Linked DNA regions of Arabidopsis thaliana. The protein of the gene in region 1 interacts with the protein of each later gene in a pairwise test. Each region holds a gene or a part of one and is shown on either strand. Other genes may lie near its edges.

The links.
Region 2: the proteins of PGSIP7 (region 1) and AT1G65720 interact in a protein complementation assay, tested with the Arabidopsis thaliana proteins (one large-scale study listed by BioGRID).

The regions. Positions count from the first base shown.
Region 1 is NC_003071.7:15,010,099-15,016,215, forward strand, and holds PGSIP7 (Nucleotide-diphospho-sugar transferases superfamily protein), read right to left. Parts: upstream 4,187-6,117; 5' UTR 3,973-4,186; coding exon 3,629-3,972; coding exon of another isoform or gene 3,625-3,628; exon of another isoform or gene 2,154-3,624; coding exon of another isoform or gene 2,134-2,153; coding exon 1,673-2,133; intron 1,593-1,672; coding exon 1,445-1,592; coding exon of another isoform or gene 1,441-1,444; exon of another isoform or gene 1,368-1,440; coding exon 827-1,367; 3' UTR 609-826; downstream 1-608.
Region 2 is NC_003070.9:24,439,107-24,442,881, forward strand, and holds AT1G65720 (uncharacterized protein), read right to left. Parts: upstream 1,968-3,775; 5' UTR 1,908-1,967; coding exon 1,365-1,907; 3' UTR 546-1,364; downstream 1-545. Other genes in the region: YSL7 (YELLOW STRIPE like 7), read left to right, coding at 3,533-3,775.

The DNA.
Region 1 (6,117 bases):
AATAACTTTATTACAATTTTAAAATGCAATAACACGTGATTGACCAATAAACCTAGCAATATATGGATCGTATATTGTAAAAATTTGGACTAGTTCGCTGATGGGTAGCCCAATGGGTGAAGTGGCCCAAAGAAAACTCGCCGTCTTATAATAAATGTCGCTATTTATTATACTTGGCGGCGATAACCTAATTCGAAAGCTGTGAAACTTGGAGAAATGGGTAAACAATTTGCTCTTAATATTCTTCGTCTACAGTTTTTCTAGTGAATGATTCATTATTTTGTTCAATATCTTTCTGTGATGAGTAGGTGCATACAAGTGTGTTTCGGAGCTATGGAGAAAGGTGGTTTCGTTATTAATCTTAAAATGTACTAACCCTAGAGAATATAGACTAGACTTTTCATCAAATTAGGAGTTTTCTATATGAAGCATACTATCACAAGTCTAGTAGGCAAGTTAATAATAATCCAAAGGAATCTCTATGGTCTCTACTTGTAATTTTATTCTAGCTACATCACAGCTTGACCTGGATCTAGGGGGCTTTTGTAACTAGAGAGGAAAAATCAAAGAGGGACACAAATAAAAAACAGAGAGAAAAACAGAGTGTGCTCAATTGTTTGTGTTCTTTAACTTTTCATGCTACAAATCTTTAAATCCAAGAGAGTGAGTTAAAAACAATAATGAAGAGTATGAAATCAGGCTACCGAAATTGATACTTTGACTAGGTAAAAGAAAGAAGGTTAGAGTGAGTTGATATAAATGTAATGTGAATGAAACAATAATAATCCTTTATATACAGAGAAACAATATGTCAAATAAAGACTCCCTAATACAATTTGCTGAAGCCTGAAGTGACCCCTGAGTCTCCCAATCGCGGGAACAACACCTCTTTCTCAATCAAAACCTGGAGGTGCGATGTGATTTTGCGGAATGAAACCCACACAAAGGGTGCGCAACAAAATGCGTATGCGAAAACTGACAAGGCTCTGACCACTCCATCAGGGTACCAAGGGAAGGCCATGACAAGGAGAGTGCCGAGAATTCCTAGCCATGGAGTGAGAACAGGGAGCGTTGGGAGGAGGAGAGTGTTGATTGAAATGGAAGAGAGAGCAAAAGAAGCCATCAAGTAGAGCGACCAGCCGATGAGTGGGTGGATAGTGTGAGGGATGGTGAAGAATGGGAAGATGTAGGCTGCAACTACAGAGAGAAGCGCGATCAACTTAAAACCAGCTTGGATCGTTGTTAAGTTGCGGTCAGAGCGGCGATAACATAGCTTGGTTATGTTAGGACGAGCTAGTCGTGTAACCACTATGATTCCAAGGTAAAACATTGCTTGGATTATAACCAAAGGCATTTCGGCTGAGTACCTATTGCAAGATCATTATTATTAGCCACTATACAGAGCTTAAGAGGGAGTTGTCATCATTTAAAAATTTAAAATTACCCTATAGTGGCGCGACGCTGCTCGTGCCATGAGAAACCTAGTGGAAGAACAGGCCATGACCACCAGTACCATGGCTTTAACCAAACAGCTCCCGGGAATGTAATCACACTGTTTGGTCCACAGGGTATGTTCCATCTTAGCTTAAGATCTGAGAGTACAAGTTAATACATTAGCCAACATTAATCATTATAGACAAAATCTTGAGAGAAGAATTAAGAGACTACTTACAGAAATAAGAAGCGTCCATTTGGTAGCCTAAGGGAAGTCTCAAGTGACCATTAAGTACAGATCCGTTACTCGGAGGACTAAAGAGAGGTTGGTCAAGAAGATCAGAGAAGTAACTGACAAGAAAACCTTGATCAGCTCCATCAGGATTCTTTCTTCCAACTTGTAGCTCATGGAGCATGTCCTTGAACACTTCCACTGATGGCTGCAACACGAAGAGACCAGTGTGGAAGATACAAGGGTTAATGAAGACCGCACAGAAGCGCCCACACTGGAACAACTCGTCGGCTTTCTTAAGAAAGAGGTTATCGGCATCTAGCATGACCACACGGTCGTAATCAGACAAAGCCCAAGCGTAGAGCTTGTTTAGAGTAAGCTTGAATCTACTGTTGAAGTTGGTCTGTCTCCTGTATGGATTATCCACATTTTCAACTCTCACCACTTTAGCTCCATCTTCCTCTTCCCTGCTCACAAAGAGGCTCATTAGTATTCACACACACAAACATCGTACAAACAAACTAGTTATGCATGCATGTTTTTTAGAATAAATATATTCTTATGAATCATATCAGAAAATGAAGTTCTTGTGTAAAGTCCTAATAATGTTGCTTTCAATTATTATAGGTTTATCTTTCTTATCGGATGTGCTCTAAAGGACACAAAAATTATTACTATAGGCTATGAGGTTGAGATGTAGACGTTATTGCATGATCTATGCAGCAGATTGGCCGGTCATAAATTAGTAATTTGACACAAAAAAACAGCTCTTTCTTGTTTCCAAAAGGTTTCAATCAAAACGCTAAAGTCAAACAACTCTCCTTAAGTTAATATGATTTCAATTCAATGTAATAAGATTATTGCTATCGATCGCTTTTAGTTGCCATATTCTTTATCTCTACGCCTGTTTCAACTTTTTTGGGTGCATAATGAATTGTTGACTTAATCTATGGTTTATTTCTAAATTTTTGAAAACTGGATTGTTTTGGTGGTTAATACCATCCGGACCACTTAGTTTTAGTCTAATCTGTCCATAGAAACTCAAATGATTAATTCACCTACATGCCTATTAAATATGTTTTTAAAAATTGTTGTTTAACTTATAAAAATACTAAACTAATCAAAAACTTAATATGAAAAAAACAAAAGAAGTTTTTCAAAACTAGATGACACCTAACGAGTTTTTGAGAATTGATTTTTTAAAACACAAATATATTTCTATACAGATAGGCGCGTTGTCATATACTATATAGGACCAATAGGAGAGGATATAATGGAGTTAAATGCGTTGGTCTAAGTGTCTGTCAACCATAAATACTCAAACATTTGTTTCTCTCCAACTTTTACTTACACCAAAATAGTAAGGTCAAAAAATGAACTCAAAAAATTCCATTTTAATTCGTGAAGCCAATCAAGAGAAAGAAAACGATAGAATAAAAAAAACTAATATGCTTTTGTCTCGATATTTTCTATGAATAAGGTGGTCGTTGTCTCATTCGAACAATTTTCTAAGCTAACTTCAATTTCTAAGAGAAAAAAGTGAATCAAGACTCAAGAGTCCAACCAGGGAAGGACGTAGAGGAAAGGGAAGGTGTATCTGTCTGTGCCACTGCCAACTATAACTTCTTAAAATATTTGTTTCTATAAGCTAAACTGAAATATATTTGTTTTCATATTAGCTTATATATTCAAGAATACAACTAGACAAGGACCAATTCTTATCTTTACTTTTTTCTTTCCCTTTGCTTAAATAAGTAATGTTGATATATATAGAAAAATACCATTTGAATTTGTTTTTAGAACTCCTGCTGTTTCACGCACGATGCCATTATAGTGAAAATTACGAATGTTTTGTAAAAAAATTTTTAAAAATTAATAGCAATTGTATATTCCAGCCTAATAATAGTTTGGTGGTCAAGTTTCGAAACGACAGCGTTTAAGATGGTCGGAAGAGAGACTTACAAGGTTTGAACCCATCGGAGAGGAACGTCGAGAGAAGCGATGACGACGAGATCAGCTTCCACGTGAAGACTTCTCAACGATCTGATCAAAACACGTGTCGCAACGTAGAACTCGTAGTCTCTTGGCGTCCCCATGTACATCATCGTTGCGTATGCGTTCTTATGCTCCGGTCGCCGCGTCTTCAAACCTCGATCTTGAACCGTCACCACCGCGTTTGCGGTATCTATCGCCGTTTCTTGCGGTGGTTGCAGCAGCAGCAGCTGTCTCTCTCGATACGCCGTCGTTTCGATTATCATAAAAGATAGAACCAAAGACAAGAACACAAAGCCTCTCTGCAAATCCATTCTTGATTTCTCTGTACAATGTCCGAATTGCTAAAACAAATCAAATGAAAAGAATTTATCTAGAATCTGAAACTTTTAAAGAATGTGTAAACGCATACGCGTATATATATATATACAGAGAATGTATCAAAGAGAAAGGGAGGTTTCTGGGAGACTGTGAAGGGTTAAAAAGGTATAATGGCGACTGGCCAATGACAACATTATTTTAACAATTAGAAGAAAACGAAAAAGTTGAGCATATATTCCTAGGTTGCTCTAATTTTACTTTAAACAAGTTAATTACTGTATTAGTTGCTAATGACTAAAACAAGTTAATTACTGTTAGTTTACATATTTCCAAAGCAAATCTAACACCGTTCATTTTTCTTTCATATTGATCGAATTCTACATTCTTATTTGTTTCCAAAAAAATTTGAAAATATAAAAGATTTTGATTCCAGATTTTTAAGGGTTTAAAAGAGAAATCTTTTAGTCACATTTTTTGGACTAAGAGAGATTTGTAACGCTGTTAGTTTGTAACGCACTAAAAGATGATGAATTAAGGTCTGCTTAATTTTTAAAATATTAATAAATTAAAAGGGGAGTTATGAAAGTAACCGTATTTTTATTTTATGTATTTTGTTGGCAGCTAATATTATGGAAATGGTCAATTTAGGACCATGTGACTGAGCCCGTTGTTCTCTTGGCAAGTGGTGTCTGGTGTGTAATCTCATCCCAGTTCATTATTTTTTATATTTCCACTACATATTTCTTTAATTCTTTTACTAATCTCCACCAAAATTCAAAGTCAAATCTGTCAAGAAACTAACATTGTGTGTTAAAAAGGTAAAATATATTGCATATTGGACGATCAGTGGATTGAAATACTGGAAATGAGAGGAATTGAAATAGGATTAGTAAATTTAATAATTAGAGTAATTAAGAGGAGAACTTTTTTCCTGTATCTCTTAAACTGGAAAAAAATTCCAACAAAAGTGAATGGAAAATCCGAAAATAAGGAAAAAATTATACTATACTGTATAGAAATACTCAGATTGGACCAAGAATAGTGAGAAAATACACAAATTTCTTGTACAGATGTTTTGAGTCACATCCACAAGACTGTACGGTAAGAAGCCCTATATTAGTCAGAGGAGAGAGGAGGAAAGTAATGTTCTTACGTTTGATTCACAATTACTTAGCAAAATACAAAGTACAATATGCATAATAGTATAATTTTATTGGAAAGATCGTTTCAGACACTAGAATTATACCTAACTACATTAACTGTTATCGTTTTCTAATAGTCGTCCTTGTCACGTTGGTTTTGTACCACTTATTTTGAGGTTAACAGGAAAATAAAATTCATTGTATGTTTTAGGCAGATATCCAACGTTGACTGTACGTACCCAAATATGCACATTTATGGAGTAATACATAACAACCCATCTTGTATTTTTTTATTAAGTATATGGCAATATGGATATTTATATTGTACAACATATCAAGATTACGTGTTGTATCATTTCATCATGCAATAGGCTGTATTATATTTCCTCTATCCCATTTTCTTAAAAACGTTTTGGCTAAAATCACAAAGATTAAGAAACAACAAGTATTTTCTCATTTATAAAAAATCAACCAATATAACAAATTAAAATACTGCACATTTTAAATAGTTATAAACTACTAAATTATAAATAAAAACTAGGAACAAAACTAATAAATGGAACAAAAAACATCTTTATCGTATATTAGAACAGAAATTTGGGGGAAGAAAGTAGAGAAAAGGGAAAGAGGAAGGAAAGGGTCGAGTAAACGTTGACTGATTAAACAAGACACGACTCCTCTTATCTTGTGTTGAAACCGCGTCGGTCCAAATTGTCTGAAATTGTCTTTTAGATGCTTACGGATCCAACCAAGTGTCTCCTTTTTCTGTTGACTTCTACTTATGTACATTTTTGTTTTATTGTTTAAAGACCATGTTGACATTATTTCTTTTTATTAAGTATCGAAAGGTTGCTAGTTGCTACAATGAGTTTCATGAGCCAATCTTTGCGATTGCGATGATGAAAAACAGGAGTACCTACTATTTCAAGGCTTCAATAAAACACAACTTAATCGAAATCTTCATATGACAAAAGTTAACTCTTACAATTAAATGCA
Region 2 (3,775 bases), on another chromosome or scaffold:
CTAAAATACTGAAAAAGAAACGATAAACAATTTCTTTTGAGGTAGTTTTTTTGAATATATATGTAGTTTTTTAAGAAAAGAGTACCAAGACAATTAGGTTCTTTTGAGGTAGTTTTTTAAGAAAAGAGTATATATGTAGAAAGCAAAATCTTGCACCATTTGTGTTGACAATCGAAAATCGGACCGATTTTGAGACATCTATAGATTCTATTACCAAGACAATTAGGTACTGGATTTTACATACATAAAACAACCTCAAATCAAATAGTAACATAACAAAGGATTGTTACAAGGCAAATAACTACTAGACTAGAGAGAATAAGGCACTTAATTGTTCCTCTGCATCCAAGACATCAACCTTTAAGCTATATACATACACAACGATGACCATTAGCAATAGAAACTAGAGACTCTCAATGCTTTGAAAGCTATGCAAATCAGAAATTAGTATCAATGAGAATCATCCACATATCCTGCGACCTACTTAAAAGGGTCTACCTACTAGGTAGTCAGAAATATAACAAGAAACAGAACAGAAACTAGACACTGCCTAAAGTTCACAATGCTTGAAAGCTATTAAACCACAAAATGGGGCAATAAGAACCATATATACAGATGACCATAAGCAATAGAACCTAGACACTCTCAATGCTCTGAAAGCTATGCAAAACTCAGATTGGGGTCAACCAGAGTCATCCCCATATCCTGCTACCTACTTAAAAAGTCTAGCTACTAGCTAGTCAGTAAGATTACAAGAAACGGAACCGAAACTAGACACTACCTTAAGTATGCAATGCTTGAAAGCTATTAAACAACAAAATGGGGCAATGAGAACCATACACACATATGACCATAAGCAATAGAAAACTAGACACTCCCAATGCTTGAAGGCTGTTCAAAACACAGATTGGTTAACGAGAATCAGACACATATCCTGCGACCTACTTAGGTTCTAGCTAATCAGTGCTTGAAAGAATGAAAGCTATTAAACCACAAAATGGGGCTATGAGAACCATACACATATCCTGCGACCAAGTTAGGTTCTAGCAAGTCAGAAAGAAAACAAGAAACAGACTTCTCGAGTCACGACCTTGGTTCCTTTGATGATCAATCCATTTAAGTATTAAGCTCCTAAACTAGTCACATTGGTATCAAAGATAATGAATAAATCCATAGGTAACATCATAATCACACTTATATATATCTAAGAAACATCAACTACAAATCGTAAAAACACTGATACTTAGAGTATAGTAAGTTTAGATAAATCCATAACAGAGACGAATTTACTTGTACGCAACAACATAGATAAGCAACAACGTAAATCATGATAATATGCAGAAACTGAAATTCACAACCTCAAATCAAGCAGCTTCCTTCACAGGAGCAGGAGCTGGAGCTGGAATCTTAACATAACCCAATTTCTTCAAGCTAGCAGCATCAGATTCATCATTCTCATAATCATCTTCTTCTTCCTCAAAATCATAGCTTTGACGATTCACAACAAGAGCCCAAACAAGATACATAGTAGCAGCGGTTAAAGCACCACAACCAACACCGAACAAAAGCGCGACGACGACGCTAAGAATATCTCTGGTTCGATCTCTAAACGAATTGATGTTATCAGAGATCAAAGGGAGGGAACGATCCGATTGGATCTGTGGCTTCTCGTGACGACGATTGACGAAGAAAGGAACCACGTGGTGAGGATTTAGACGACGGATTGTGAAAACGGTGACGAATCGTGTGGAGGTGAAATCGGATTCGAGGTTAGGGTTTTCTGGGGTTATTGAGAGGGAATATGAGGAGATTAGGAAGGTTTTGCAAGGACGTGCGGTGGTGATGGTGGTGATTGAGAGGAAAGCTACGACGGCGATCGCAAATCGGAGGTACGATGATGACGTCATTGTTATCGTCTTTGACTTCTTCTTCTTCTTCTGACGATTTTGAAGACAAACCTAACCCAAGAAGATTCGGTGAACGAAGAAGATTAAAAAGATTTTCTAAGATACGTGTTATTATGAAATAACCCCTCTACTTTTGTATTTGATCATATAGGTCCCTTTTATCTTCTTTTCTTATAAAAGGTGCCAAAATATTATTTAATTTTGACTTAACTATTTTAAGTCTAAATCTCATTATTTATACTCACATAAGCAAACAATAGATTTATTTCTCTATTTATCTAATTTTCAATAGGTTAATTGTTAATTGATATGAATTTTGTCCAAGTTATACAAGTTCTAATACCACAAATAGTTTGTGTAATATGTGAATAGTCTGAACCCACCTCGCATATAATCAAACTTCTAGTAGTTATAAATTCATAAGATTTTTGTTATTCTAAGCAAGTTAATGATGCATTCATGGTCAATATCAAGTTAACCATTTGTTTATTAATATAGTATAGTCAAACTTTCACATTTTATATTTATTAGTCAATATTAATAGCTAAGATTTTTTTACCTAATTATTATGGTTAGAGAATCTAAATGAAAATTCTATCTAGTCACTCATAGTCTCGTACCATAGAATAAGAGCACGACACTTTCGAATATTCCAACTTTTCTCTTATTTAAAATAATCCTCTCCTTTCTTGTAAACAAAGAGCTAGGTTAGACTTAAATTTAGCAGCGGTCACAGAGCGATAAAGGAAAAAAATGACGATCTCAAATGCCACGACATGACATGATAGAATCTTTGAGGCCAGCCATGAGCCCATGAGGATCATCCTTCGTGGCAAAGCCAGCTCACGTTTAGAGTCTTTAACAATGTAGTGAGAGAACATAAAAATGAAAATGTCAAATCGGTGTAAACGTTTGGACACATAGTTTTTATTTTTTTTGGTCTTTCCACATAAATAATTTGGTACTATTGAAAAGCGATAGAAATATTTTTTTTTTGGGAAAATTGTGGTAGAAAAAGTAAAATTCCCTTGTAATCTTTAATTATAAAAAATATTGGTTAATAGTTAAGTACTCCGAAATTAAAAGTAATTTGAAGAACAACTCACTATATAAACGACTATTGTTCTGAAATCAAATGTTCAAACAATATTTACGTGTATTTTCATTTTAATATTTTAATTCTTTTCAAAAAAACACATTTGCAACTAAAACTTAATTCTGTTAAGATTAATACAATCTACGACCCGTCATAATTGGCTCGTTTAACACGTAAACATGTCATAATCTAAATTCCAAAATCCATTTACGTATCAATTTAATTAACTCTAAATCCACACCAAAGAAAAAACTCAGATTTTACACTGTGTATACACACCACACCATAGTCCACGTGCACGTAGGTTAATTATTTATAAAAAAAACACATTTGACTTATAAATATAGAAATATTAAAACAGATTCGCTTCTCTCTCTCACTCACACAATAGAGAGAATCATTCAGTTACAAGAAAATCGTCCTCTTCTCTCGCCGATCTCTTCTCTTCAGATCCTCTCCTCTATAAAATCTCTCCCTCTCTCGTTCCCCTCCTCAGATCTGACTCAAATCAAATCAAAAACTCTCAGCTATGGAAGTCGAACGATCGAAGAAAGACGACGATCTAAACAATGGATCTAAATCCAACGAAGAAGAAGAAATCTCCGTGGAGAGAATCTTCGAAGAGAGTAACGAAATCCCACCGCCGTGGCAAAAACAGCTCACGTTCAGAGCTCTAATCGTGAGTTTCATACTCGCGATTCTCTTTACCTTTGTGGTGATGAAACTGAATCTAACGACTGGGATTATTCCGTCGCTGAATATCTCCGCCGGT